Linked DNA regions of Oryctolagus cuniculus. The protein of the gene in region 6 interacts with the protein of the main gene of each other region in a biochemical or structural test. Links are inferred from orthologs where the notes say so. Each region holds a gene or a part of one and is shown on either strand. Other genes may lie near its edges.

The links.
Region 1: the proteins of HTT (region 6) and PRPF40A form a complex in vitro, tested with the Homo sapiens proteins (2 studies listed by BioGRID and IntAct, with this or other methods). The link is inferred for Oryctolagus cuniculus from reciprocal best matches to the Homo sapiens genes HTT and PRPF40A.
Region 2: the proteins of HTT (region 6) and SP1 form a complex in vitro, tested with the Homo sapiens proteins (2 studies listed by BioGRID). The link is inferred for Oryctolagus cuniculus from reciprocal best matches to the Homo sapiens genes HTT and SP1.
Region 3: the proteins of HTT (region 6) and HIP1 form a complex in vitro, tested with the Homo sapiens proteins (2 studies listed by BioGRID). The link is inferred for Oryctolagus cuniculus from reciprocal best matches to the Homo sapiens genes HTT and HIP1.
Region 4: the proteins of HTT (region 6) and HAP1 form a complex in vitro, tested with the Homo sapiens proteins (4 studies listed by BioGRID). The link is inferred for Oryctolagus cuniculus from reciprocal best matches to the Homo sapiens genes HTT and HAP1.
Region 5: the proteins of HTT (region 6) and PACSIN1 form a complex in vitro, tested with the Homo sapiens proteins (2 studies listed by BioGRID and IntAct). The link is inferred for Oryctolagus cuniculus from reciprocal best matches to the Homo sapiens genes HTT and PACSIN1.
Region 7: the proteins of HTT (region 6) and SH3GL3 form a complex in vitro, tested with the Homo sapiens proteins (2 studies listed by BioGRID and IntAct, with this or other methods). The link is inferred for Oryctolagus cuniculus from reciprocal best matches to the Homo sapiens genes HTT and SH3GL3.

What each region holds. Positions count from the first base shown.
Region 1 is NC_091434.1:89,214,294-89,217,793, forward strand, and holds part of PRPF40A (pre-mRNA-processing factor 40 homolog A), read left to right. Parts: intron 1-795; coding exon 796-910; intron 911-1,066; coding exon 1,067-1,170; intron 1,171-1,275; coding exon 1,276-1,392; intron 1,393-1,685; coding exon 1,686-1,823; intron 1,824-2,507; coding exon 2,508-2,603; intron 2,604-3,500.
Region 2 is NC_091442.1:56,402,466-56,405,965, forward strand, and holds part of SP1 (transcription factor Sp1), read left to right. Parts: intron 1-2,241; coding exon 2,242-2,441; intron 2,442-3,500. UniProt on the Homo sapiens protein: Transcription factor that can activate or repress transcription in response to physiological and pathological stimuli.
Region 3 is NC_091450.1:50,706,829-50,710,328, forward strand, and holds part of HIP1 (huntingtin-interacting protein 1), read right to left. Parts: intron 2,951-3,500; coding exon 2,892-2,950; intron 2,682-2,891; coding exon 2,588-2,681; intron 729-2,587; coding exon 628-728; intron 396-627; coding exon 290-395; intron 1-289. UniProt on the Homo sapiens protein: Plays a role in clathrin-mediated endocytosis and trafficking. Involved in regulating AMPA receptor trafficking in the central nervous system in an NMDA-dependent manner. Regulates presynaptic nerve terminal activity.
Region 4 is NC_091448.1:20,968,218-20,971,399, reverse strand, and holds the end of HAP1 (huntingtin-associated protein 1), read right to left. Parts: intron 2,792-3,182; coding exon 2,367-2,791; intron 2,031-2,366; coding exon of another isoform or gene 2,014-2,030; coding exon 1,806-2,013; exon of another isoform or gene 1,219-1,805; coding exon 888-1,218; 3' UTR 501-887; downstream 1-500. UniProt on the Homo sapiens protein: Originally identified as neuronal protein that specifically associates with HTT/huntingtin and the binding is enhanced by an expanded polyglutamine repeat within HTT possibly affecting HAP1 interaction properties.
Region 5 is NC_091436.1:134,918,869-134,923,006, forward strand, and holds the start of PACSIN1 (protein kinase C and casein kinase substrate in neurons protein 1), read right to left. Parts: upstream 2,801-4,138; 5' UTR 2,524-2,800; intron 1-2,523. UniProt on the Homo sapiens protein: Plays a role in the reorganization of the microtubule cytoskeleton via its interaction with MAPT; this decreases microtubule stability and inhibits MAPT-induced microtubule polymerization.
Region 6 is NC_091433.1:1,893,590-1,896,530, reverse strand, and holds the end of HTT (huntingtin), read right to left. Parts: intron 2,530-2,941; coding exon 2,367-2,529; intron 2,231-2,366; coding exon 2,070-2,230; intron 1,274-2,069; coding exon 1,060-1,273; 3' UTR 501-1,059; downstream 1-500.
Region 7 is NC_091443.1:102,396,675-102,400,174, reverse strand, and holds part of SH3GL3 (endophilin-A3), read right to left. Parts: intron 2,873-3,500; coding exon 2,739-2,872; intron 486-2,738; coding exon 327-485; intron 1-326. UniProt on the Homo sapiens protein: Implicated in endocytosis. May recruit other proteins to membranes with high curvature.

The DNA.
Region 1 (3,500 bases), on a different chromosome or scaffold from region 6:
TAAGAAATATTAAGAAGTTTTTATGTACTGAAACAGTACTGTTAAGTGTGGTATTTAGTAATCATTAGTACCAAGGTCAGCATCCCTCATTTGTGTTGACAGATAACGACAAAAGGATAGAGAATTTGAGAACAGAATTTCAGAGTTGTCTATATGCACTTGTTTTTTTCAAGAGTAGTGGATTCACAGGTGTACAGTATTGCTGAAGGGCAGCTCTATCCAATAAATTTATATCCCTTATGCAATTTTAATTTTTAATTAACCATATTTAACTCATTGTATCAAAAAGTTTCAACATGTTGAGTTTTTATAAAAGTTTGTGCTAAGTCTTTGTAACCATTTCATTTTATACTTACGCTATATTAGAGTTCTGAATAGCCACATTTCATGTACTCATGTAGGTCAGCGGCTACCATATTGAACAGTGCAGTGCTAAGAATTATGGGAACAGAGTTTAGGGTCAGTTTCCTTAGAGGTATTTGCTTACAGTATTAAACTCTTAAGGATTTTGGGAAACAGGAAGTTTAAAAATTACTGGGGGCTAAAGTTTAGTATGTTGCCCTGTAAGTAAGCAAATATGGAAACCAAAGAAGAGCAAAGAGAAGAAATTGGAATTAGCAAATAGATAATGGCTTCTATTTAAACTAATATGAAAAAAGAGAAAGGGTCCTGAAACTAGATTTGAGTTTACTTTTATAATTGGAAATAATATATCTACATTTTTACATGTGTTCTCACATTGAACTTAATTTCTAATGTACTTCAAGAAGACTATTCAGATATTTTTTTTCCCAGATATTTTTAGATGAATTGCATGAACATGGACAACTGCATTCTATGTCATCTTGGATGGAATTATATCCCACTATTAGTTCTGACATTAGATTCACCAATATGCTTGGTCAGCCTGGTGAGATTCCTTTCTTTGCTAATTTATAGTTTTGATAGTAGTTACAATGAATTAGAGGGGAATGTGATTATGCTGGGAATTTTTGTTTTATTTTTGATTTATAAACAAAAAAGTAATTGCAGCTCTTTGGTTAGAGCTAGCTTTTGACTTCTTTAGTTTTTTCATTAGGATCAACTGCACTTGATCTTTTCAAGTTTTATGTTGAGGATCTTAAAGCACGTTATCATGATGAGAAAAAGATAATAAAAGACATTCTAAAGGTAAATATTTATTCTTACCTGTTTGCTTATAGTGTATTACAAAAACTGGTACTGTGTTCCTTTGATGTATGTTTTATATATATTAACAATTTTTCTGATTTTTAGGATAAAGGATTTGTAGTTGAAGTGAATACTACTTTTGAAGATTTTGTGGCAATAATTAGTTCAACTAAAAGATCAACTACGTTAGATGCAGGGAATATCAAGTTGGCTTTCAATAGTGTAAGTTAATAATTTTTGCAATTATAAATAACTGGTATAATAGTGAAGTTCTTAATTTTGTAGCTAAGAATTTAAATTGAAGGGCATTTTGATAATGGAGTATACAGAGGTTTTTATAGAATGGTGGTCCTTTTGGTGGGGTAAAAGTAAACTGTTGCTAAGCTTCCTTTCTTGTTAAGAGATAAATTGCCCTTAAATAATATGTGAGTACCTCTAAATTAAGAATAATGAATTATTTCACATGAAAGTCACAGTTATGCTGCAGTAATTAATTAATCATGGTTTTCTGATAGTTACTAGAAAAGGCAGAAGCCCGTGAACGTGAAAGAGAAAAAGAGGAGGCCCGGAAGATGAAACGTAAAGAATCTGCTTTCAAGAGTATGTTGAAACAAGCTGCGCCTCCAATAGAGCTGGATGCTGTCTGGGAAGATGTATGTATATGTGTATATTTTTTCTGATAATTTTTTTTAGTTGAAAAATAAAAATATAAATTCCTTTCACATTTTACAGCCACATATGAAATTGCAAGTTGTTTGTTGAATATATTCAGTATATTTAGAGTATTTGAAGTCAGCTGTGGCTCTGCACTTGGAAATACTTGTTAAAAACGATTGAGACTTTTTTTTCTTAAAGATTTATTTATTATTATTTATTTGAAAGTCAGAGCTGCACACAGAGAGAGAGAGAGAGAGAGAGAGAAAATGAGGTCCTCCATCTGATGGTTCACTCCTCAGTTGGCCACAACGGCCGGAGCTGCGCCAATCCGAAGCCAGGAACCAGGAGCCTCCCACATGGGTCCAGGGGCCCAAGGATTTGGGCCATCTTCCACTGTTTTGCCAGGCCATATCAGAGCTGGATCAGAAGTGGAGCAGCCGGGACCAGAACTGGCACCTATGTGGGATGCCAGTGCTTCAGGCCAGGGCGTCAACCCTACTGCACCACAGTGCTGCCCTCCCCCCTTTTTTTTCTTTTAAAGATTGAGACTATTGAGAGAAAAAAAATTGCACTGTAAATGGTTTGGATTATCATAGTTTTCGCTTGTTGATATTCCTTTTAGGCATATCGGTATCCTATTCCTGGTATTCATCTATTTATTCCATATATGAATTTTTCAGATCCGGGAGAGATTTGTAAAGGAGCCAGCATTTGAGGATATAACCCTGGAATCTGAAAGAAAAAGAATATTTAAAGACTTTATGCATGTGCTTGAGGTAATTTTAGAGTTCTCATAACTGGTTGAAATAATACTTAACATATAAAAGTATAAACAAAATAGAATTTAGAATGATCTGTTTAATATTTATTTATTTATAATTTTCTGGTTACTTGATAGTCATAGAATGTTTCTATACACCGGTACACTCCCCAAATGCCTCACATAGCCAACACTGGGCCAGGCTGAAGCCAGCTGCCTGTAACTCATTTCCAGATCTGAGTTTCCTCTGTGGCCTCTCAGGGTCAGGAGCTGGAGCAGGGGTTGAACCTAAGCACTACAATGTGGAATGCTGCAGGTATCACAAGCAGCCTCTTAATCAACTAGGCCAAATTCTCGCCCCTTTACTATTTACTTAACAAAGCAGAGTTACTGGATAGGGGAGTAGGAAGGGGGAGGAGGGGAGGAAGAAAAAAATATAATTGAAGTTTTGAGATTGAAAAGAAAAGCTAGCATTCAGTGAAATAAAAAAGGGATATTAAGAGTTCTGTCAAAGTCAGATATTCTGTTTCCACTGTGGTAACTAATGCAGAGTGTATTTTTAAAGCTGTAAATGTGTTTGGAGGTACAAGTCTTTTACTGTAGTACCTTCCCTTTTCCATCAGCCTTATAATTTTTTATTTTAATAAAGAAGTTGAAGTCCACAGAGACATGTGAATGCCCAAGGATGTCTTGAGTAGGAGATGTTTCTTGAAGGCAAAGAAACCTGATGTTGATTTTGCATTTATTCTGCAGCCAGCCTTGTATGACATTTGAGGTTCTTTGTTGGTGCCTGGCCTGCATTGCTAACCAAAACCAGATTCCTCAGGAAAAAAAACATGCCTGCATGTCTTATTTCAAAGCAGTTGTGACTGTTCTGCAAATTATACATTTGTAGAGTTTATCAGCTGTCCCT
Region 2 (3,500 bases), on a different chromosome or scaffold from region 6:
CCAATGGATGAAAGATCCCTCTCTCTTTCTAACTTCACTGTTCAAATAAATAAATGTTTAAAAATAAAATAAAAAATGACAACCAAAACTTCACCTTCATACATTTAAAGAAAAAATTTTGGGTCAGTGTTATGGAATAAAGGGAAAAGGTGCCATCTGACATGAGCATCCCATATGGGCGCCGGTTCTAGTCCCTGCTGCTCCTCTTCCAGTCCAGCTCTCTGCTATGGCCTGGGAAAGCAGTGGAAGATGGCCCAAGTCCTTGGGCCCCTGTATCCACATGGTAGACCTGGAAGAGGCACCTGGCTCCTGGCTGCAGATCGGCACAACTCCAGCCATTGCGACCATTTAGGGAGTGAAATAACGGAAGGAAGACCTTTCTCTGTCTCTCCCTCTCGCTGTCTGTAACTCTACCTCTCAAATAAATAAATAAAATATTTTTTATAAAATATTATTTATTTGAAAGGCAGAATTACAGAGAGAAGAAAAACAGAGAGAGAACTTCCATCCACTGGTTCACTTCCCAAATGGCCACAATAGCCAGGATGGAATGGGTTAAAGCCAGGAGTCAGGAGCTTCATCCAGGTCTCCCTCATGGGTACAAGCTCCCAAGAACTTGGCCCCTCTTCCACTGCTTTCCCAGGCACTTTACCAGGGAGCTGGATCAGAAGTGGAACAGCTGGAGCTTGAGCTGGCACTTAAATGGATTTTGTTTTTTTAAGATTTATTTATTTATTTGAAAGGGAGAGTTACAGAGAGGCAGAGACAGAGGTGAGAGAAAAAGAGAGGAAGAGGTCTTCCATCCACTGGTTCACTCAAATGGCCGCAATGGCTGGAGCTGGGCCAGTCTGAAGCCAGGAGCTTCTTTTAGATCTCCTTTGTGGGTTCAGGGGCACAAGGACCTGGGCCATCCACTAGTGCTCTCCCAGGCCATAGCAGAGAGCTGGATCAGAAATGGAGCAGCCGGACCTGAACCAGCGCCGACATGGGATGCTGGCACCGAAGGTGGTGGCTTCCCCTGGCTTGCCACAGCGCTGGCCCCATGGATTTTATTTTTAAGGAAACAATACTTTCTGAAAATAGGATGGGTGTTTAGCCTAGTAGTTATGATACTGGTTAAGATGCCTGCACCAGGGGCCAGCGTTGTGGCATAGCAGGTAAAGCTGCCACCTGCAGTGCTGGCATCCCATATGGACGCTGGTTCATGTCCCAGCTGCTGCACTTCCGATCCAGCTCTCTGCTATGGCCTGGGGAAACAGAAGATCACCTAAGTCCTTGAGTCCCTGCACCCGTGTGAGAGACCTGGAGGAAGCTCCTGGCTCCTGGCTTCGGATCGGCCCAGCTCCGGCTGTTGGTGGCCATTTGGGAAGTGAACCAGCGGATGGAAGACCGCTCTCTCTCTCTGCCTCTCCTTCTCTCCCTGTGTAACTCTGACTTTCAAGTAAATAAATAAATAAATTTAAAAAAAAAAAAAAATCCCTGCATCCCACCTTGGAGTACCCAGATTGGGCTCCTGACTTTAGCTTCCTGCTGATGCAGACATTGGGAGGTAGCAGTGATGGCTCAAATAATTGGGCCTCCTGCTGTGCAAGACCTAGCTTAAGCTCCTAGCTCCCAACTTCGCTCCCAGCCTTTGAAGGCATTTGTGCAGTAAGCCAGAGGATGGAGACTCTGTCTGATTTTATTTGTCTCTATCTGCCTCTCTGTAAACTGCCAAAAAAATACTACCTAAACTTCACAAGCACGTTGAGCATGGTTATCTCTTGAAACAACAAGAAATAACTTTGGTTAAATTGATTAAAGAATAGAAAAGCAGGAATGAACAAATACCCAGTAAAGGGCAAACCTACAATTTGAATTTTGGGAATTTGGAGCCAAAACTAGCTGGATATTTATCTCTCTTGTTTTACAATGTACGTATGTATTGGAAAGGCAGAGTTGCACAGATAGTAAGGAGAGATTTTCATTTCTGTGGTTCACTCCCGAAATGGCTGCAACAGCCAGGTCTGGGCCAGGCCAAATTCAGGAGCCAGGAACTCCATCCCACATGGTGGCTAGGTGCACTAGCAGGGAGCTGGATCAGAAGCAGAGCAGCTGATATGTGATCTGAAGTGGGATGCTGGCTCCCAGAAACGTTTTTTCAAAAATGAAAGTTCGTTTCGGGTTAATTTCGGGTGGGTTGGGTAGTTGCGGTTGATACTTTTCTCTCTAGAAAGTGTAAATCAGGTTGTGTTCTTGCAGGGCCTCTGGAGATCCTGGCAAGAAAAAACAGCATATTTGCCACATTCAAGGCTGTGGCAAAGTATATGGCAAGACTTCACACCTACGGGCACACTTGCGCTGGCATACAGGCGAGAGGCCATTCATGTGTACCTGGTCCTACTGTGGGAAACGCTTCACACGTTCGGATGAGCTCCAGAGGCACAAACGCACACACACAGGTAAGCAAGAGCAGTAATAGACCAGAATGGAAAGGTACAAAATGTGCGTATGAAGCAGCTCCACTTTCTGAGCAACTTACGTTTTTGAAACTGAAATATGTATTTGGGTCACAAATAGAATTGGAGTTAATCTGGAAAACTTCAGAAGGAAGGAGAGGCCAGTGCTGTGGCATAGAAAGTTAAGCCTCTGCCTGCAGTGTTGGCATCTCAAATGTGCACCGGTTCGAATTCCAGCTGTTCTACTTCCAACCCAGCTCACTGCTGATGCACCTGGGAAAGCAGTGGAAGATGACCCAAGTCCTTCTCTCTATGTATCTCTGCCTGCCTGCCTGCCTGCCTTCCTTCCTTCCTTTCTTTTCTTTTCTTTTCTTTTCTTTTTTTTTTTTTTTTTTTTGACAGGCAGAGTGGATAGTGAGAGAGAGAGACAGAGAGAAAGGTCTTCCTTTTTGCCGTTGGTTCACCCTCCAATGGCCGCCACGGCTGATGCGCTGCGGCCGGCCCACCGCACTGATCCGAAGGCAGGAGCCAGGTGCTTCTCCTGGTCTCCCGTGGGGTGCAGGGCCCAAGCACTTGGGCCATCCTCCACTGCCTTCTCGGGCCACAGCAGAGAGCTGGCCTGGAAGAGGGGTAACCAGGAAAGAATCCGGCACCCCGACCGGGACTAGAACCTGGTGTGCTGGCGCTGCAAGGCGGAGGATTAGCCTAGTGAGCCGCGGCACCAGCCTGTATCTCTGCCTTTCAAATAAATGAATCTTTAAAAATAAATTTAAAAAAAGAAGGAAGGAGGGGCCAGTGCTGTGGTGGAACAATTTAAGTCTGGGTCTCCTAAACCAGTATTCCATGTGGGCATCAGTTGGAGACCATCCTGTTCCACTTCCAGTCTAGCTCCCTGCTAATGTGCCTGGGAAAGTGGTGGAAGATGGCCCAAATCCCTAGGCTCCTGGCTTTGGGCTGGCCCAACCCTGGCTGTTACGGCCATCTGGGGAGTGAACCATTGGATGGAAGATCTCTCTCTCTCTCTCTCTCTCTCTCTCTCTCCCCCTCCCTCCCTCCCTCTCT
Region 3 (3,500 bases), on a different chromosome or scaffold from region 6:
GAGGGGCAGATGCTCGTTCTGGAATGGGAGCCAAACCAGGTGTCCTGGTTCCATCGCTCCTTGAATGTCTGTCGGGGCTGCTAATCAGGTGCTGGCGTGGCTGGGACCCTCGCGTGGGGAGCTGGGGACGGGGGCTCTTTGGCAACAGACCAGATGCCTTTAGTGGAGAATGGCGTGGGAGCCCGGGGAGGCACGCTTTGTGTGTGAGACCCCACCACCTTGACTGTCGAGGCCAGCTGCACTGTGCAGATGGTCCCCAGGCTCCGGGGGTTGAGCCACGGGGTCCTACCTTGGATGCAGCCACCAGCTGGGCTGTGCTAGCAGCAATTTCGCGTGAACACACCATGAGCTCCTCGAATTTCCCTCTGCCTTGCACCACCAGGTCAGCTGCGTCCCTGACAGGAAAGAATGTGACAAGGGCCAGGTCAGAGGCAGCTCAGGACCCAACCCCTGCAGCCCCTCCCGTTGGCCCTGTCTAGACTAGAAGGGGACAATGCCAGCCCCGTCCTTGTCAACTCCAGCTTCCCTGTGAAGCCTTCAGTCTTTACCAACAACAGTTCCCTTCCAGGGGACTATGGGTCAAGGGAGCGGGACCGAGGGAGGGGACCGGGCGCTGTAGCCACTTACACCATGACGGTGGCTCCCCAGCCCACCGCTTTGGAGGCTGAGATGAGCCCTTCTGTCCAGCGAGAGTTCTTGGCATAAAATTCCTTAGGGGACGCAGTGCCCTGAGAGGGGAAAGGAAAGAAGGGGTCACCTTTTACCGAGCGCCTGCTCTGGGTCTACCACTTCGGTTGACGGGTCCTGGGTGGTCCTGGCTGGTCCTGGCAGTAACTCAGGGAGGGAACCAGTGGTCCCGTCCCATTGCTCAGGGGAGAAAACCAAGACCCAGAGAGGCGACTGTGCTCCCCCCCGGGGGGCACTGCACACTGTCAGTCCTGGGCATGTCTACTCTACCTCAATCTTCCTACCATAAGTCCCCTACTTCTGTGGACTCAACAAAACACTGCTCAGAATTAGTTGGCGGGGGTGGGAATATTTTTTTCCTCTTGTCAGTAATCCCTAAACCATACAGTAGGAGCAGCTGCTTCCATAGCACTGACACTGTATTTGGCCTAAGTCATGTAGAGAGGATTTGAAGTTTACGGGAGGGGACTGGTAATGTTAGGCAGCAAACTAAGCCTCCGCTTACAATGCTGACATCCAGCATTGGGGCACTGGTTCAAGTCCCGGCTGCTCCACTTCCAATCCAGTTCCCTGCTAATGGGCCTGGGAAAGCAGTGGAGGATGGCCGGAGTACCTGGGCCCCTGCCACCCACATGGGAGACCCGGATGGAGATCCTGGCTCCTGGATTCAGCCTGGCCCAGTCCTGGCCACTGTAGCCATTTTGGGGGAGTGAATCAGTGGATGGAAGATCTCTTTCTCCCCTTCAAATAAATGAATAAATCATAAAAACAAAAGTTATGAAAGGGAGCGTGCAGATTATGTACAAATATGATGCCATTTTATATAAGCAACTTGGCATTTCTATGGGGCGGGGGGTGGCGGGGAAGGTGTCCTGGCACTAATCCACAGTGGGTTTCAAGAGGAACCGAGATATCAGAACTCACATACTCAGCGATGAGTCAGTTATGATCTGGGGCGAGTCTAGCTGCTTTCCACCATTTCCCAAAAGATGGGAGGACGCGATGAATAATTTACAAAGCATTATGTCTACTTGAAGTTCCAGAACATTCTCAGGCTTTGTTAGTGTCTGCCAGTGTGCCAGGCCCAGATGGATCAGGGGGCACCCCCAAAGCAGAAACAGCTGCTGGCTCCCTCCCTGGGCCCCTTCCTAGAGGGAGAGACAAACTGGGCCAGGCAGGGACCAACAGCCCAGCGACGGCAGAGCTGGTTGTGAGAGACAGCAGGGAGCGGACTCGGATGGAAGCAGACATGGCCAGACTCCCGGGAAATGTCGGTCCCAGGCATGCGTGTCCATCTGCCCAGGTTCCAGAAGCCCTTGTTCCTCTCAGAGGGCCTGGAAGTGCCGTGTAAGGAGGGTTCCCAGGGCCGGTGTTGTGACGCAGCAAGTTAAGCAACCACCTGCCAAGCTGGCATCTTATGTGGGCACTAGTTCAAGTCCTGGCTGCTCCACTTCCGATCTGGCTCCCTGCTGACGCGCCTGGGAAGGCAGCGGGGACATGGTACAGAGTGCTTTGGCCCCTGTGGGAGTCCTGGATGGAGTACCAGACTCCTGATTTTGTCCCGGCTCAGTCCTGGCCATCGTGGCCATTTTGGGGGGTGAACCAGTGGATGGAAGATCTGTCTCTCTCTCTCTCTCACTCTGTAATTCTGCCTTTCAAATAAATAAATGTCTTTTTTAAAAAACAAAACAAAACAAAACAAAAAAAGAGGTTTCCCCGGTTGGGTCACAGCGGCGACTCACCAACCCAGACCACCCGACCCCCAGGCTGATGACCGATCACGAGAAGGGGTGGCTCGCCCACGGGGGGTTCACAGGACCAGACATCAGTGCCGCTAGACCCCAGGGATCATGGAGTCAGACCTGCGCTCCCCACCTGCGGGCCCAGCCTGCATGCCTACCCGGCCGCTCTCTACGATCTCCCTCTGGAGGTCCTTGGAGGCCACAATCAGGACCTGAATGGCTTGCATCAGGCCGGTACAGGAGCCGAGGATCCTGGGAGAAGCAAAGCAGATAGTCAGGGCCGCGGGCACGTGGGAGCCCCAAGGACAGCAAGGCAGGCGAAGCGACCTCACTGTCACCGTCAATGCTGTCGCCCCCGGGGCAGCTCAGTTCCCTCTGACCCCTGAACGGGTTTGCAGAGCACAGCCCCCGGCCAGCGAGACTCATCCTGCCCACACGGGTGCCACCGCCGCTCAGACCAACCTCTCGTTCACCTCCAGCTTCACGCCTGTGTCTCCTGCACGGGATTTGCTCAGCATTTCCTGTTTTAAAAAAAAAGCACAGTTTTCCAAACGCACCTCCAGGACCGAGAAGCCGGTTCTACTGTACCTCCCTGCGGAAGCTGGGGAACCTGAACTGGGGAGTCCCCAGGCAGGGAAGGGCTCTGGCCCCATCTCTGTGCAGGTGCAATGGGCAGTGACAGCAGGTGGAGCAGGCTGTGCGCCCTTTCCACACCCTGTCCACCTGGCACCTGGGCTTGTGTGCACGGAACCCTGGCAGCCACAGGCCCGGGGGGTGCCAGAGGCAGGTGCTCACACCTCGGGGGGTGGTCTGGGCCCCTCCAGCGAGGGAGCAACCTGGGACCTTCCCCAAGGCGCCCGCTAAGCTTTCCGTGAATGAACCTCCCATGAGGGGGTGCCACCAATTTCCGGAGTGCCTGGCACCCAGAGGGAGATGGGCACTGTCTCATGTCACCCGTGCAGCAGGCCCCTGGAGTGGGTATGACGACTGCTGCCATTGTGGAAATGGTACAGGGATCCTACAGCAGCCGGAAGGCTTGGAAGGGGTCCGTCTGGAAGTCGACCCCCGGAT
Region 4 (3,182 bases), on a different chromosome or scaffold from region 6:
AGCGTGTCTCAAACGCTAACCCGCACGTGAACTCCCTGGGGACCATGCGAGCCTGCAGGGGCTGGTGCTATGTAGTCTGGGGTGGGACCTGAGGCTCCACTGCTGCCCAGATCATCTTCCAAACAAACTCCTTGTTCTCGAGCCCCATTCCAGGCCTGTCCCTGGGGGCCCTGAGCCCGGGCACTGGGTAACTCTCACTCCCACTCTAACCTTCACAGCCAGGGCCAAAAGGACCAGGGAGGGGAGCCTGCCTGAGCACAGGCTCCAAGGACTTGGGTTCAAACCCAGCTCTCCAGGGTCACTTGGCCTGCCTGGGCCTCAGTTTCCCCTCTGACACCGCTCATTATCCCCCAGGGGGTGTTGATGTGATTCCACGGTGCATTTAATAAAAGTCAGAGTCCATCTTCTTTAACGTTGTTCCGCAAAGTGTACACACGCACACCCCTGCACCCACACACAGGCACACATGCTCCCTGAGAGAGAAGGCTGGAGGCTGGACCAGCAGTACACAAATCCTTTATTTCCTGCGCAGACACCTACACGGACAAGCAGCAGGGCACTAAGAAGCGCAGTGGGGGTCCTGAGGCCCGGAGCCCAGCTGTGTATGAGCGAAGGGATACAAAAGGAAGAACACCCAGAACTAGGGAACAAGGGCCCCCCAGGGAGGAGCGTGGGAGCCTGGACACTCGCAGGCCACAGGCTAGTGGCCGGGGCAAGGCAGACATACCACTGGGCAGAGGGACCCCTCCCCCACCCCACACAGAGCCACTTCTGAGTACAAACACCAAAGGGGACTGAGCAGGAAAGACAGGACTGGGGAGAGGGCCAGGTCCCCAGGAGGTGACCCCCAACAACTCCCGACCCTTGGGATCACCCCCCACCCCTCCTCAGAGCTGGGTCTGGTAGCCGGCAGGCCTCCCCCGGGGCTTCTTCCGCGCCTGGCGCCACCACGTGACCCAGGCCCAGCAGCCACAGCTCCTGCACCAGCTGCAGAGCGAAGCCCCGGGCTCCTTCAGCCTGGCCGGGAAGAGGCTCGAGGCTTGGACCCTCACGCTCTGGCCCAGGCTTGTCAGGACAGAGGGTGGGCTGCTGACATGCACCGGGTCACGTTTTGGAGAGGGGAGAGGGAGGGCTGGGGTGGGGAGGGCTTGGCCAGGCAGCAGAAGGAGGGGCCTCATGTCTGTGGGGCCTCTGCAGGCTGCTGGGAAAAAGCAAAGCCTGGAAGAAAAAGGGGTAGACGTGAAGGCCTGGCCCAGGTGGCTCTGCACCGGGAGGCGGACAGCCATCACAGATCCACAGGCCAGAGCCCACTGCCCAGCCACGGGCGTCCGGTTCAGCTTACAACCTGCACAACCTCACCCGGAGGCCCTGCTGAGGCCAGCGCTATTCCAAACCCAGCGGTGACCAAAGCACCATCAGAGCCGAGGCAGGCCACATCACAGGGAGGTTGCCAACAAGTTATAAACCCACGGCTGCCCACAGGCCAGCAGCAGAGGGGATGTACGGCACAGCACGGCAGGGTGTGAAGACATCTCAGCTGGACCTGGATCGAGTCACTTCAGCTCTCTGATCATCTCAGGGGACACCACCACCTACCTACAGGGCCGTGAGGGTGACAGGGGCTAACACCCGGGAAAATGGTCCGTCTGCAGCGCTGTCACCGGGTCACTGCAGAGGCAGGGCTCACCAGGCCTACGCCCGGCAGGTGCAGCCGCCTCAAACTTTGGGGCTTCCAGCTGGGGAGAGGAGACCCTGACCCGCCTCCCGCCACCCTGCAGCTGACCCTTGCCCACCTTCAGACTCACCCAGGGGACTGGTGCGACTGTGGCCCTTGCTGGCGGGGGCCTCGGTGCCAGCGGCCTAGGTGGCCCCCGAAGGCCCATCTTCCTCCCCGGCCCCGGGAGGGTGGCTGGCCCTGTCCTCCTCCAGCCTCCGAGAGTCCTGGGTCGGCACCCCGGGCCGCTGCTCCACGCTCCCGCCCCCCATGTTTGTTTTGGCCTGCTGCTGCCACTGCTGCAGGGTTGGGGAGCCTTGGGGACAGGGGAGGTGGGGGTGAAGGGTGGGGGGAGGGGGCAGGCAGAGACAGGAAGCTGAGGTGCAGTGAGGGAGACAGTCCCGGCCCTGACCCCAGCCCAGGAGCCAAGTGGGTGGACAGCTAGACTCCTAAGCAAATTCCACATAAAGGAGTGCTGGGTCCCAAGGACACCCGGGAAGGGGGCTTGAGGTGCCTATGCAAATGATATGCAAAGTCCATGCAAATAAGCACGCTGGGCAGGGCCGGGCTGGGGCAGGTGAGCACTTTCATCGGCTTGAAGACCTGCAGCTTGTCCGGCTGGCCGGAGGGAGGCCCCCGCGGGAGCACTCACCTTTGGGAGGCACCTTCGGCTTCTGCTGCCGCCTGCAGTGGGCGTCCTGCCAGTTGGCCAATTGCTGGAGGACATACTTCATGTCCAGGTGCGAAGGGCCCAGGCCGCTGGCCTCCAGGGCTGACGTGACCACGTTCATCCGCGTGGCCTCATCCAGCTCTGGCTCCACCTCCTCCCAGGCCTCCGTGTCCTCGGACAGCAGCTCCGCCTCCTCAGTCGCCCCTTCCTCGGCTGGCACCGCCTCCTCCGCAGCCCCCAGCTCCTCCTCGGGGATCAGCTCCTCGATGGGCTTGAAATCCACAGGCACAGCCTCCTCCGCCTGCGCAGAGCCCTCCTCCTCCTCCTCCTCCTCCTCTTCCTCCTCTTCCTCCTCTTCCTCTTCCTCCTCCTCGGCCCTGTAGCCCTGTGCCTGCGCTCGCTCCTCCCTGGAACACAGGTCCAGTCAGGGTAGGGAGACAGCCAGGTTCTTCCAGATTGCAGCAAGCCAACTCCTGCTGCAGCTCGCCGCGGGCATGCACACATGTGCACACACACATGTGCACGCACACACACACACACACACTCCTCTGGGACACCTGCTGTTGGGGCTGTGGAGGAAGGTCCCACCACAAGCCCGCCCCCTCCCAGCCTCTCCAAGGGCAACCCTGCCCCACCCAGCCCTCACCCAGATGCCTGTGGTTCCTTCCTAGGTCTGCCCCAGCCAGGGGAAAGAGGAGCTGGGTACCAGCTTCAAACACACAGCCCCCAACACAGCCCAGCCTTCTCCCTCCCTCACTTCACCCCACCGAAGAGCCCAGCAGGACCAACCGTCCCTCC
Region 5 (4,138 bases), on a different chromosome or scaffold from region 6:
TCCCGAGAAAACCCCTCCCCAGAAGAAACTGGTGCCCACCCCCAGCCCCATGTCCCCCCACCGTCTCAGGCCCACTGCCCCGCCCCCTGCTGCTGGGCGGCGGAGGTGCAAGCTCCTGAATGGGTCCCTCACCTCCTGATGGCTGTGCCTACACAGTCGAGGACACTCTGGCCAGGCCCTGGGATTCGGGACACAGGACACAGACTCTGCGCCCAGACGTCACAGCTCCGGAAGACACAACCTCAAGTGCAGAGGACACTGGGGGGGGGGGGGCGGGGAAACAAGCAGCCGGGCGGGGGAAGGGGGTCATGGTTGAGGCTCTCAGCCCAAGCTGGGGAAGCTTCTAAAAGGAAGAGACACGTCCCTGGACTCCTGGGGGAGGAGGAGGGGGTAGAAGGGGCGGCTATGCACAGGGCATCAGAGCAGCTGGGAGCGGGGGGGGGGGTGGGAAGGGAGGGGCAGCCGCACGCTGCGGAGACCACAGGGCTACCCAAGGCGACAGGGCTGGGAAAGAGCTCTGCCTACGTCCACGTGCTTCTCAGGCCTCCTGCCCAGGCTGGAACCCTCGGGGGCAGGCTTCTCCTCTGGCCTGGGTCTGCTCCCCCATGCAACAGTGTCACTCCACTGGCTCCAGCCTCGCTATGCGCACCCCAGAGATTGCGCACAGCCTGGCTTGTGCAGGCTCCCTGACGCTGGCTTGCATTCCCCTCCTAAGGGCTGGGACAGTGGCAGAGATCCCTGGCCTGAACATGGCACCCCGAGAAGGCAGCCACCCAGTGCCTGCCGAGAGCCACGCCTCCACTTCAGGCCTCCCCCCAGCTTGGACCAGGCCTGGGCAATCCAGCCGGGGGCCCAACAAGACCCACTGGAGAGGCCAGCACTGCAGTGTAGCAGGGTAAGTCACTGCCTGTGACACCAGCATCCCAAACGGACACTGGTTCGAGTCCCAGCTGCTCCACTTCTGATTCATCTCCCTGTTTATGTGCCTGGGACAGCAGTGGAGGGTGGCCCAAGTGCTTGGGCCCCTGCACCCACGTGGGAGACCGGGGGGAAGCTCCTGGCTTCCATTCGGCCCAGCTCCAGCCATTGCGGCCATCTGGGGAGTGAACCAGCAGATGGGAGAGCTCTGTCTGTCTCTCCCTCTCTCAGTGTAACTCTGACTTTCAAATAAATGAATGTTGACTAGAGAGAGAGAGAGAGAGAGAGAGAGAGAGAGAGAGAGAGATTTAAAGAAAAAATAGCCCCACTGGAGCAACACTTCTTATCTCCAGGAGCCAAAGCAGCCCGCGTTGGCTTCTGCTTCCTGGCCTGGGAAGGGCGTCATGGAGCTGTGTCCAGCAGCTCTTGGTCCTCAGGAGTGGACAGAGAGCCCCCCTCCTCCCAGCTGCCCTCTGTTTTGCCAAGTTCATGTTCATTCAGTCAGTCAGTCCACATTTACTTGGTGCCTCCCCCTGCGCAGGGGCAGGGGCAATGACAGAGAGGGATCAGAGCACTTCTGCTCCACAGGGCAACGGACAAGACAGAAATACCCAAGCCAGAGGCACACGGGGTCCAGGAGGCTGGGGCAGGTGATGAGGAGCTCACGGGGGCATCAGAAGAGCCGTACTGGGGGGGGGGGGGGGTACTTGTGGGTGGTGACCTGCACCCGTGCTGGGAAGGCCAGGAGCGGGGACAGAACCTCCAAAATCCCTGCCACACTGCCCCCGGTTTGCACCCGGCTGTGCCAGGTGCTGGGGGCAATGCAGGCTATTTATGGTTGCACCTAGAAAAAAAGCAGCCACATGTGTCACTGCCCTGGAGGGCAGAGCTGGGCTGCGGGGGGGCAGGGAGCAGCTGGGGCTTGAAGCTGGGCCTGGCCAGTGTAGCCCCCAAACCCTAACGACGTGTTTTACCTTTTCACAGCCTGCTGCAAGGTGAAAGCAGGGAAGGGGGGGGGGCTCCAGCAGGCAGCAAGGGAGCTGAGGCTTGCGGGGAGGGCAGTGGCCCGCACCGGTGCGCCTGCCCTACCTGCCGGCCCTTGAGCATCATCTCCCTCCCACTGCCTCCTCCCTGCTCCCCTGCCCACCCCCAGCTGTGGGGGAAGGGGTGAGTGCCAGAGGAAATGCTGTAATTGTAAACCAAGCGCAGCAGCATCAGCCCTGTTTCTCCCCAGCCCACTCTGATCCACAAATAGCCGCGCACCAGGCTGGCGCAGCCCGCCCACCCCTGCCCGACACCTGGACACCGGGGCCCCACTGCACCTTCCCAAGGAACCCATTTCCTGCGCCCCCCCCAAGGTGAAGGCCTCGCCAGCTCCGTCTCCCCCAGGGACCCAGCGCAAGGGCCTCCTGGCATTGCCTGGGTGATGCCCACGAGCCGGGGCGCCTGCGAAGCTTCTCCGGCCGTGTGCCTACCGCTCTCCAGGTAACTGCCCGGTTCCCCTCAACCCCCGGCCTGGAAGAAGTCACCCTGCACCCACCAGCAACCCGCACCTGCCACCTGGGTCCCCACCCACCCCAGCCCTCTCAAGGGCCAGACCCCTACCTGGGGGCAGGAGCGCCGGGTACCATGGGCGGCGCCACGGGGCGACGCGGGGCACCTGGGCCCGGCCTCAAGCCCGGAAGGCTTCCCGGGGGAGGAGGAGGCTGGCGCGGCCGCCGCGCCGCTTCGCTCCGGGCTGTGGCGGGGCTGCGGGAAGCAGGAAGGTCAGGGGCGGGCGGAGCGCGCGGCCGAGCCGATTAGAGAGGCATTTTTAGCGAGCCAATGGCGGCGCGGCCGGGCGGCGCAGGCTGCGCAGGTGGCGGCGCCCCGGCTGCCGAGGCGGCCGCGACGGCGGAGCCCGCGCCCGGGCGGGGGAGGCGCAAGCGGGGGCGCCCAGCTCTCTCCTCCCGGGCCGCCGGGGCCGGGCAGCGGGCTCTAGGGGCGGGGGTGCGGACAGCTCCTTTCCCGCACTGCCTCCTCCTGAGCCCCCTAGCCCGCCCCATCCTTCCTCAGTCCTCCCTCTCCAGCCCCCTCCCCAAACTCCTCTCCCAGCGCGCCCCCCACCCAACCCCACTTGCCAGCTCCTATGGAGGGGGGGCTGTCTCTCCACGCCCTTCCTGACCCCCCCCCCCCCGCCACGGCTGGATATCTGTGTTTCTGCCCTCTCGTCCCTCTGACCGCATACATGCAGGGTACGTCCGAGGGGTGTGTGTGTGTGTGTGTGTGTGTGTGTGTGTGTGTGTGTGATGACTCCCTCCACCTCACCCCACCCATGGCCCACCCCCACCTCGGAAATGTTGCCTTGACCCCATGGGGCAGACTCCTCAGTCACCAAAACACACAGCCATGTCCTTGGGGCTCTCTGGGGGTCTTGGGTCCTAAAAGTCACACACGCGCGCACACGCACACACAGGGCTTCACTCTTCTGCCCTGCGCCCTTGAGTCTGGAGCCGGGGTTGGGGGGGCGCTTCCCGGGGACCAGTCCTTTAGCACAAATCTGTAAGGCGCCTACTGTGTGCCCGGCGCACCCCTGCCCTGCCTGAAGCGGAGACAGCCGTCCGTGTAAGTTGCAGGGGGCTTTATCTCAGACAGGTGCGCACAAAGCGCAGGGAAGCAAGGCAAGAACGCGGGGCCACCAGGGCGGACGGCGGGTGAGGGCTTCTGCGTGCGCATGCGTGTGAATGTGAACCGCCACCCCACTCAGGGCGTCTCCAGCTGGCCACAGACCTCCCCACTCCCTGTGGCTGCCCTGGGCTGGTCACACACAGGCGTGTATTTCCTGGTCTCTTTTTTATCACCCCCTCAGCAGAGGCACTGAAACTGGTGACCCCAGGGCCCCCCGCACGGGACCCTGTGCATACTGACTGCGTGTAGGGCATTGCAGCCCGGAGGCGTTTAGCACTCATTTGGGGTGATTGTGTGACAGCACCTACCCTAAGGCTGCACAGGACCGCCAAGTGAGTAGACGATGTCCTAGAGAAAACCAGACAGCTGTGGGTTACAGCCATGCAGGAAGACTTCCTGGAGGAGGTGACATTCAGACAGGCTACTGAGTGATAACTGAGATTATGATGAACTAGACTGGGCTGGAGGCTGAGATACACATATTTCTCTTCAAAGATTTATTTATTTATTTTTAAAGATTTATTTATTTAAAAGGCAGAGTTACAGAGAGGCA
Region 6 (2,941 bases):
ATCAGCCCATCACCACACACAGAGCTGCTCCCTGCTGAGCTGGCAGCGGCGTGGGAAAGGGGTACAAGAGGCATCGAGGCCTGACCCTCACTTGCTCTGACCAAGAGGGGCTCAGCCAGAACAGAGCTCAGTGACACCCTGGGCTGCCAGGACCCCAACATGGGGCAGTGGGCCCAACGCCAGCCAGCGAGCTCCCGGGGCCATTGGGCCAGCGTCCCTGGACACAAAGGCTATTAGCGGCAGAGAAGCGGTGCCGACCCTTATGGTGGGCAGAGGCCTTGGGAGGGGCTGAGGGCTCACGGGGCCCGGGGGGCAGTCCTGCTGCCGACACCGGGGCACCAGCTCTTCTTGCCAGGCTAACCGAATGTGACTGTGTAGCAAAGTGGGGTGTGCAGGGGAGACGCCACGAGAGGGCTGCCACAGACCCATCGCTTCCGTGGACACTGCCTCACGCAGCGCTGGCCTTGTGAGCCACACACTTTACACGGGCGTAGAAAGAGTTACATTAAAATTAATCTCTTTACTGATAGAATTGAATTTTAAATCCTGAGAAGAAAACAGAGACAGAGGATGGCGCAGGTGTGTGGCGCCCCAGCTGCTGGCCTGGCCACAGGGTCTGTGCGTCTGGTCGCTGGTGCAACAGGGGAGACGTGCTCACAAGGCCGGGTGCCGGCACTCGTGTCCTCCCTGTGGGACGGCGAGGGGCCGACGACCAGCCTGCAAGAGTGAGGACTTCCGTCCCAGGCCAAGGGAGCCGCAACCTGGCGGCAACGGCAGGTGACTGTGGGGAGAAAGACCGACCCCTGGGCACCGGCACCGGCGCTGGCAGCCCAGCTGCGCCTGCTCTCCGAGGACTCGGCTGCACCCCCACAGCGCTGTGTGTGGTCCCTGCTCAGCCACTGCTGCAAAGAGCACTCGTGCCTCTCGGCAGACGCGCACGCTGCCTGGCTGCCTCGCGGCGTGAACGGAAGCCCGGAGGGACGAGGCAGGGCACCGGGCACTGGCTTCTGCGCGGAGCCGGCCCAGCCGCTGCCTCGCGCACTCTCCCACCGGGGGCACTCAGCAGGCGGCGCCCCTGTGCACGTTTCGCAGACATGTCAGCAGCCGGTGGTATGGGCTTCCTGGCGCTGCCACCACCTCAAACACAGACTGGAAGGCCCTGCGGTCGAGCTCCTCCTCTATCTGGTGTCTGTAAAAGTCGGTGGCGACCAGGCAGAAGAGGTTCACGTCCACCTGCTCCAGCTTGCCCATCCTGCTGACGACGTGCGGGAGGCTGGCCGGGAGTTAAGGGAGCACTGCCACGGGCACGGAAGGCTGCCCCCCCCAGGAGCCCCTTCCTGACCCAGCCCCAGGAGGCGCGAGGGACAGAGCAGCAGGCAGGAAAGGGGCGGCTGGGCACACGCCCTCCTAGACCCTCTCGTGCCGGAGCCCAGCTCCCCGCCCAGGCAGCGCTGGCTGAGCAGGTGCTCGGGGCAGCACTTACCTGGCCTAGCGCCCTGCGCAGTGCTGGCTGCCGGTGCTCCCGCGAGCCCCGCTCCGACGCAGTGAGCACAGAGCCGTGGCCCTGCCTACCCGGGCCCTCCCAGGCGCGCTGGGCGAGGCTGTGCTGCCAGCACCAGCATGACCACGCTGCTCGGAGACTTGTGTCTGTCTCGGGGAAAGGCTGCCAAAAAGGGAACTCCTGGCACCAGCGTTCTGGGGGTGGGGACGGATCTTTCCTAAGCAGCCCCCTAGAGGGTGATCGAGGCACAATGACAAAGCTAATGAGAAGCAGCACTGGGAACCCAGCTGCACGGGCACAGGAGGGGAGGGGGCCCAGCGGAGACAGGGGAGGCCTGGCTGCAGAGCCAGGCGGTCCTGCTGGGCAAGCGGAGGGCACCCTGCTTTCTGTGGCCCTGCCAACGCCTTCCTCCTCGGGACAGAGGGGAACAGCACCTTGAAGCTGCGGGTTTTGCAAGTGTCAGGCTTCAAAAAGTTTAAGACAAAACACAGAAGTTGACAGAAGAAAAAGCGAAATCTGGCAGCAGGCAGAGGCCCCACCGAGAGCCCCAGCACCCAAGGAAGGATACGTTGCTGAGACCCAGGGGCTGGTGGACGCACTGACGAAAAAGCAGGAGAGGCTCCACATGGCCATGGCGACCGGGGTCCTCTGCGTGAAGTTGGACAGGGAGAGCATGACCCAGTCCCGGACCATGGACGACTGCCCGGCACTGTGCAGAGTCTGGAAGACCTGGGCAGGGGCGAGAAGCAGCGTGCAGCGCAGGGCTGGGGAGGCGTCAGTTCCTCCACCCCGCTGCTCTCTGCAGGGAGGCATCTTGCCAATGTCCTGGGACCCCGCCTCCAGCTCCCACCCACGTCTACCTCACCTTGTACACGACGGTGGCCATGAACTGCGGGTATGGCTGCTGATTGGACAGAAACTCTCCAATGACTTTGTTCATGACATCCTGGGGTGGGAAGAAGTCATCTAAAAACTGAGGCAGGATCCTTGCCACCACTCTGGCTTCACAGGGAAACCCCTTCCTGATCCTGGAAGGAGGGGACACTAGTCAGAGCCTCACTCGGCTGGCCAAGCGCACGCTGCAGAAGCGGAAACACCACACGCAGCCCTCTGCAGTCCACCCCTCCGGTGACGCGCACAAGCCTGTCCTCCTCAGGTTTTTCCCACACACTTCCCAACACGACGCAGTCCAGTGCCTGAGCTCAGCCGCCAGCCGGGAAGCCGGGCCTGCCTGCTCTTGCTGACTGCCTCTGCAGACCCCGGAGCTGCATCCTTTCTGGCAGTCCTGCCTAGCCGTGCTTGCGTGACTGCCGTGGACAACATGGAAACGGCTCCCACACACACGTGCCTGGCTCCATCTGCCCACAGACACCCAGGAGAGGATGCGCTGGACTGCGAGGGAGCCCCTGTCAAGCACCCAGTCATCTCCCCGGATCGGGG
Region 7 (3,500 bases), on a different chromosome or scaffold from region 6:
CCCCTCGTCCTGCAAAGCCACAGGGCTGGGGCCTCTGGCTGCCCATCCTGCAGCCTCCCCTGCCCCCCACTGGCGGGGGCAGCGACTCCAGCCCATCCATGGAACAAGCCTGACCCAAACGGTGGTCTTCCCAAGATTGCGGCTCTGAGCTGGAGCTCACTGGGTGTCTGAAGCCACCTCTTTAGCAGGAGACAAGGGTCCCGGAAAAACTCGGGGGGCTTTCCTAACAGCCCTGGCCTTGGGGTGCCTCAACACGCTGAGCCCAGATGCACAGGGGCCTCTGCTGTCTATCTGCATGAAGCCCGCCTGTCCGTTTCAATACTTACGTCATTCTCTAGGAAATTGAACATGCTCCGTTCGGCCAGCTCCTTGGACTCTTCAAACTTTTCTACCGCTTGTCTGACTTCTTCGTCGGGGATCTTACCCACTCGCTTCTTCTTGTAGTCGTAATCCAGGCGGCGGCCTTCCAACTTTTTCAGGTGGTGCTGGGAAGAAAAAAGAGAGAGAGAGAGAGAGAGAGAGAGAGAGAGAGAGAGAGAGAGAGGAGTCCCTGAGAGAAGTGTCACATTCAAAAGATGGCGCCCAACATTCTTGGTTATATTTCTAGGAATGTAGCCCCTCCCCCCTTATTTTTCCCCCAGGCTTAAATTCCAAAAGGCAGGGACCCATCTCTGTCTTCCTGCTGTGTGCACCTCAGTACACCTGCTGGAGACGCCCCACACTGCAAGTGGAGGAATACCCCACAACTGAATGAATGAATGGCTGGATGGCTGGATGCATGGGTGACGTAATGAATGAATGAGTGTCTATACGGAGCACAGGATCCGTGTCCCTGCTCAGAGACCAGGTTCCAACATTCTGCAATGTTCAGGTAGCTTCTAACCAAATTAGCTGGGCACAACACAGGGGCAGGGCGGGAGCTTGGCCTCCTGGTGAAGATGCCCTGTGCCCCATCTCAGCGCCCGGCTCTGGCTCCTGACCCCGGCTTCTTGGCAAATACAGACTCCAGGAGGCTCTGGTGATGGCCCAATAGCCGTGCCACTGCAACCCATGTGGGAGACTTGCTTCCCACTGCAGCCCAGCCCTGCCCCAGCCACCACATCTGGGGAATGCGCCCGCAAAGCAAGCTCTGTCTGTCTCACAAACACTTTTTTTTTCAAGATGAGAATTTAGTGGGAGAAATTTGTTTTTTGTTTAAAAAAAAAAAAACAATTCCTTTGGTGCTGTCATCAGCTCCTCGTTGAGACATGGGCACACATTTCTGGTATCCCCTAGGAAAAGCACGGATCCTCTATAAAGTGCCCAATTACAAGGTAAGTTGCATAAAATGTTACCAATGGGGGCCAGCAGGTTAAGCTGCCGTCTGCAGCACCAGCATCCCACACAGGCACTGGTTCAAGTCCTGGCTGCACCACTTCCCAGCCAGCTCTGTGCTAATGGTCTGGAAAAGCAGAGAAAGATAGCCCAAAACTTGGGCCCCTGCATGGGTGTGGGAGACCAATGCAGCCTTCTGGGGAGTGACCCAGCAGATGGAAGACCTCTCGCGCTCACTCACTCTCTCTCTCTCTCTCTGTCTCTCCCTTTCTCTCTGTAATTCTGACTTATAAATAAATAAAATGAACATTAAAAAAAATGCTACCCATGATTGCAGAGGCGAGGGAGCTACAGGCAACCTCTGAACTGGTGGGATTCTACGCGACATTCTAATTCCTTTAATAAAATCTAACAGTGATAACAAGTGGAGTCGTCCATTCACGAGACAGCCTGCCTTGTGGATACTGGGTCTCCTCTCCCAGTTTGTATTCAGTCTGTGCAAGGCAAGGGAGGGGCCGCTACGAGTTTCCTGCTGGGACCTTGGAAAACACATGGGCAGTACCTAGAGCGCCCATGGAAGCTGACCGTCCCCTCAGAAGCATCAGGTGACTGGCACCATTCATTGAAGTGGCTCTGACTTCCAGACCAGGAGGCAGAAAGAGCTTATGGGATTAAAGATCAGACGCGTCTCTCCCAGCCTATCTGTTCCTTGGGCCAAGCCCCTAAATCCCTCTCCAGCCCTCCCTGGACAGCAGTATGCCAGCCGTGTGCTAAACAAACAGGCTCCGACCCCTGATTTCCAGCACGCACAGAGCTTGCGGGGACTACTGCAGGCTCGCTGGATCTTGGGATCTCGACTCTTGATCCTCTTTGAGGTGGAAGTTCAGAGTTACACTTCCGATCCAGCTCCCAGCTCCTGCCAGGGAAAGCAGCGGAAGATGGCCCAAGTCCTTGGACCCCTGCACCCACAAGGGAGACCTGGAAAAAGCTCCTGGTTCCTGGCTTCAGATAGGCTCAGTTCTGGCCATTGCGGCCATCTGGGGAGTGAACCAGGGGATGGAAGACCTCTCTCTCTCTCTCTCTCTCTCTCTCTCTCTCTTTTCTGAAATCCTAAAGCTGAAGGAACATGGTCATGTCTTCCCACTGTCCCCACCTCAGTGCCCCACCTCTGCAGTAGATGGGGTTAATGCCTCCTGATGCTGGCTCCCAGTGGATCCAGGGAAATCTAACGGAGTTATTTTGTCACCACCCACCATAAAGTGATGCCTTCACTTAGCACCCGCAGAACTGTCCTAATGATTTTAAACACAAATATTATTCTAAGTCGCAATGATCTTAAACATAAATATTATTCCACATCGCGATGATTTTAAATGTATTATTCTAAGCAGCAACAGGGTGCACCTGCAGCCACAAAGACTTACCCCAATCTCCTTCAAATCTTTGTCTTGCAGCAGCTGAAGCGGGTCAATGAATGTCTGCTTCACGTTGATGTCCAGGGAATCTTTCACCTCAGCCATGAGTTTCATGGATTCGCCGACTTCTATTAACGCATTGCCTTGGGGGGAAAATACACATTACATATGGTTTTTCAGAAAATGACTCCTGGTCATCCATGATATTTGTTTAATTCTGGCCCCAAAGTGAATGGATGCCGGTGCAGTGAGGCCCATTCTCAGAAAAAGAAAAACAGTCTTCCTGTTTTCTACATGTTTCTCTCGGCTTGGGCACTTACCCCAGCACCTAAAATAAAACTGAGGCTGACAGACAGACGCACTTACAACTCTGACCACTAGGTGGAGATAAAGCTCTTTTTAAAAAATTGCAAACTGGCACCAAGGCTTCCATCCATAGAAGGAAAGGTCTCTTTGTAAACAATGACAGGATTGGTTGACCGGGCCCAGTATTAACCAGTAATCATGACAATGGAAATAAATGAACAAAGCGCCATCCGGGTCCGGCTGTGGACCCTGGAGGCCACTCCCTGTGTCTGGGCAGGTGGTCTCAGGTCACCGCACCCAGCCTGGTGCCACTGTGGCCAGATTTTGTTTTACTATCCTGCTGGATATCATTTTTTTTTTAACTCTGCATCTTTCATTTCTGCCGAAGCTGTGCAAATTTGTGTTAAACGCCATTCTTTTAAAAATTTTGTTTTTCTAACAAAAATCTCCCAAGCAAACAGCATT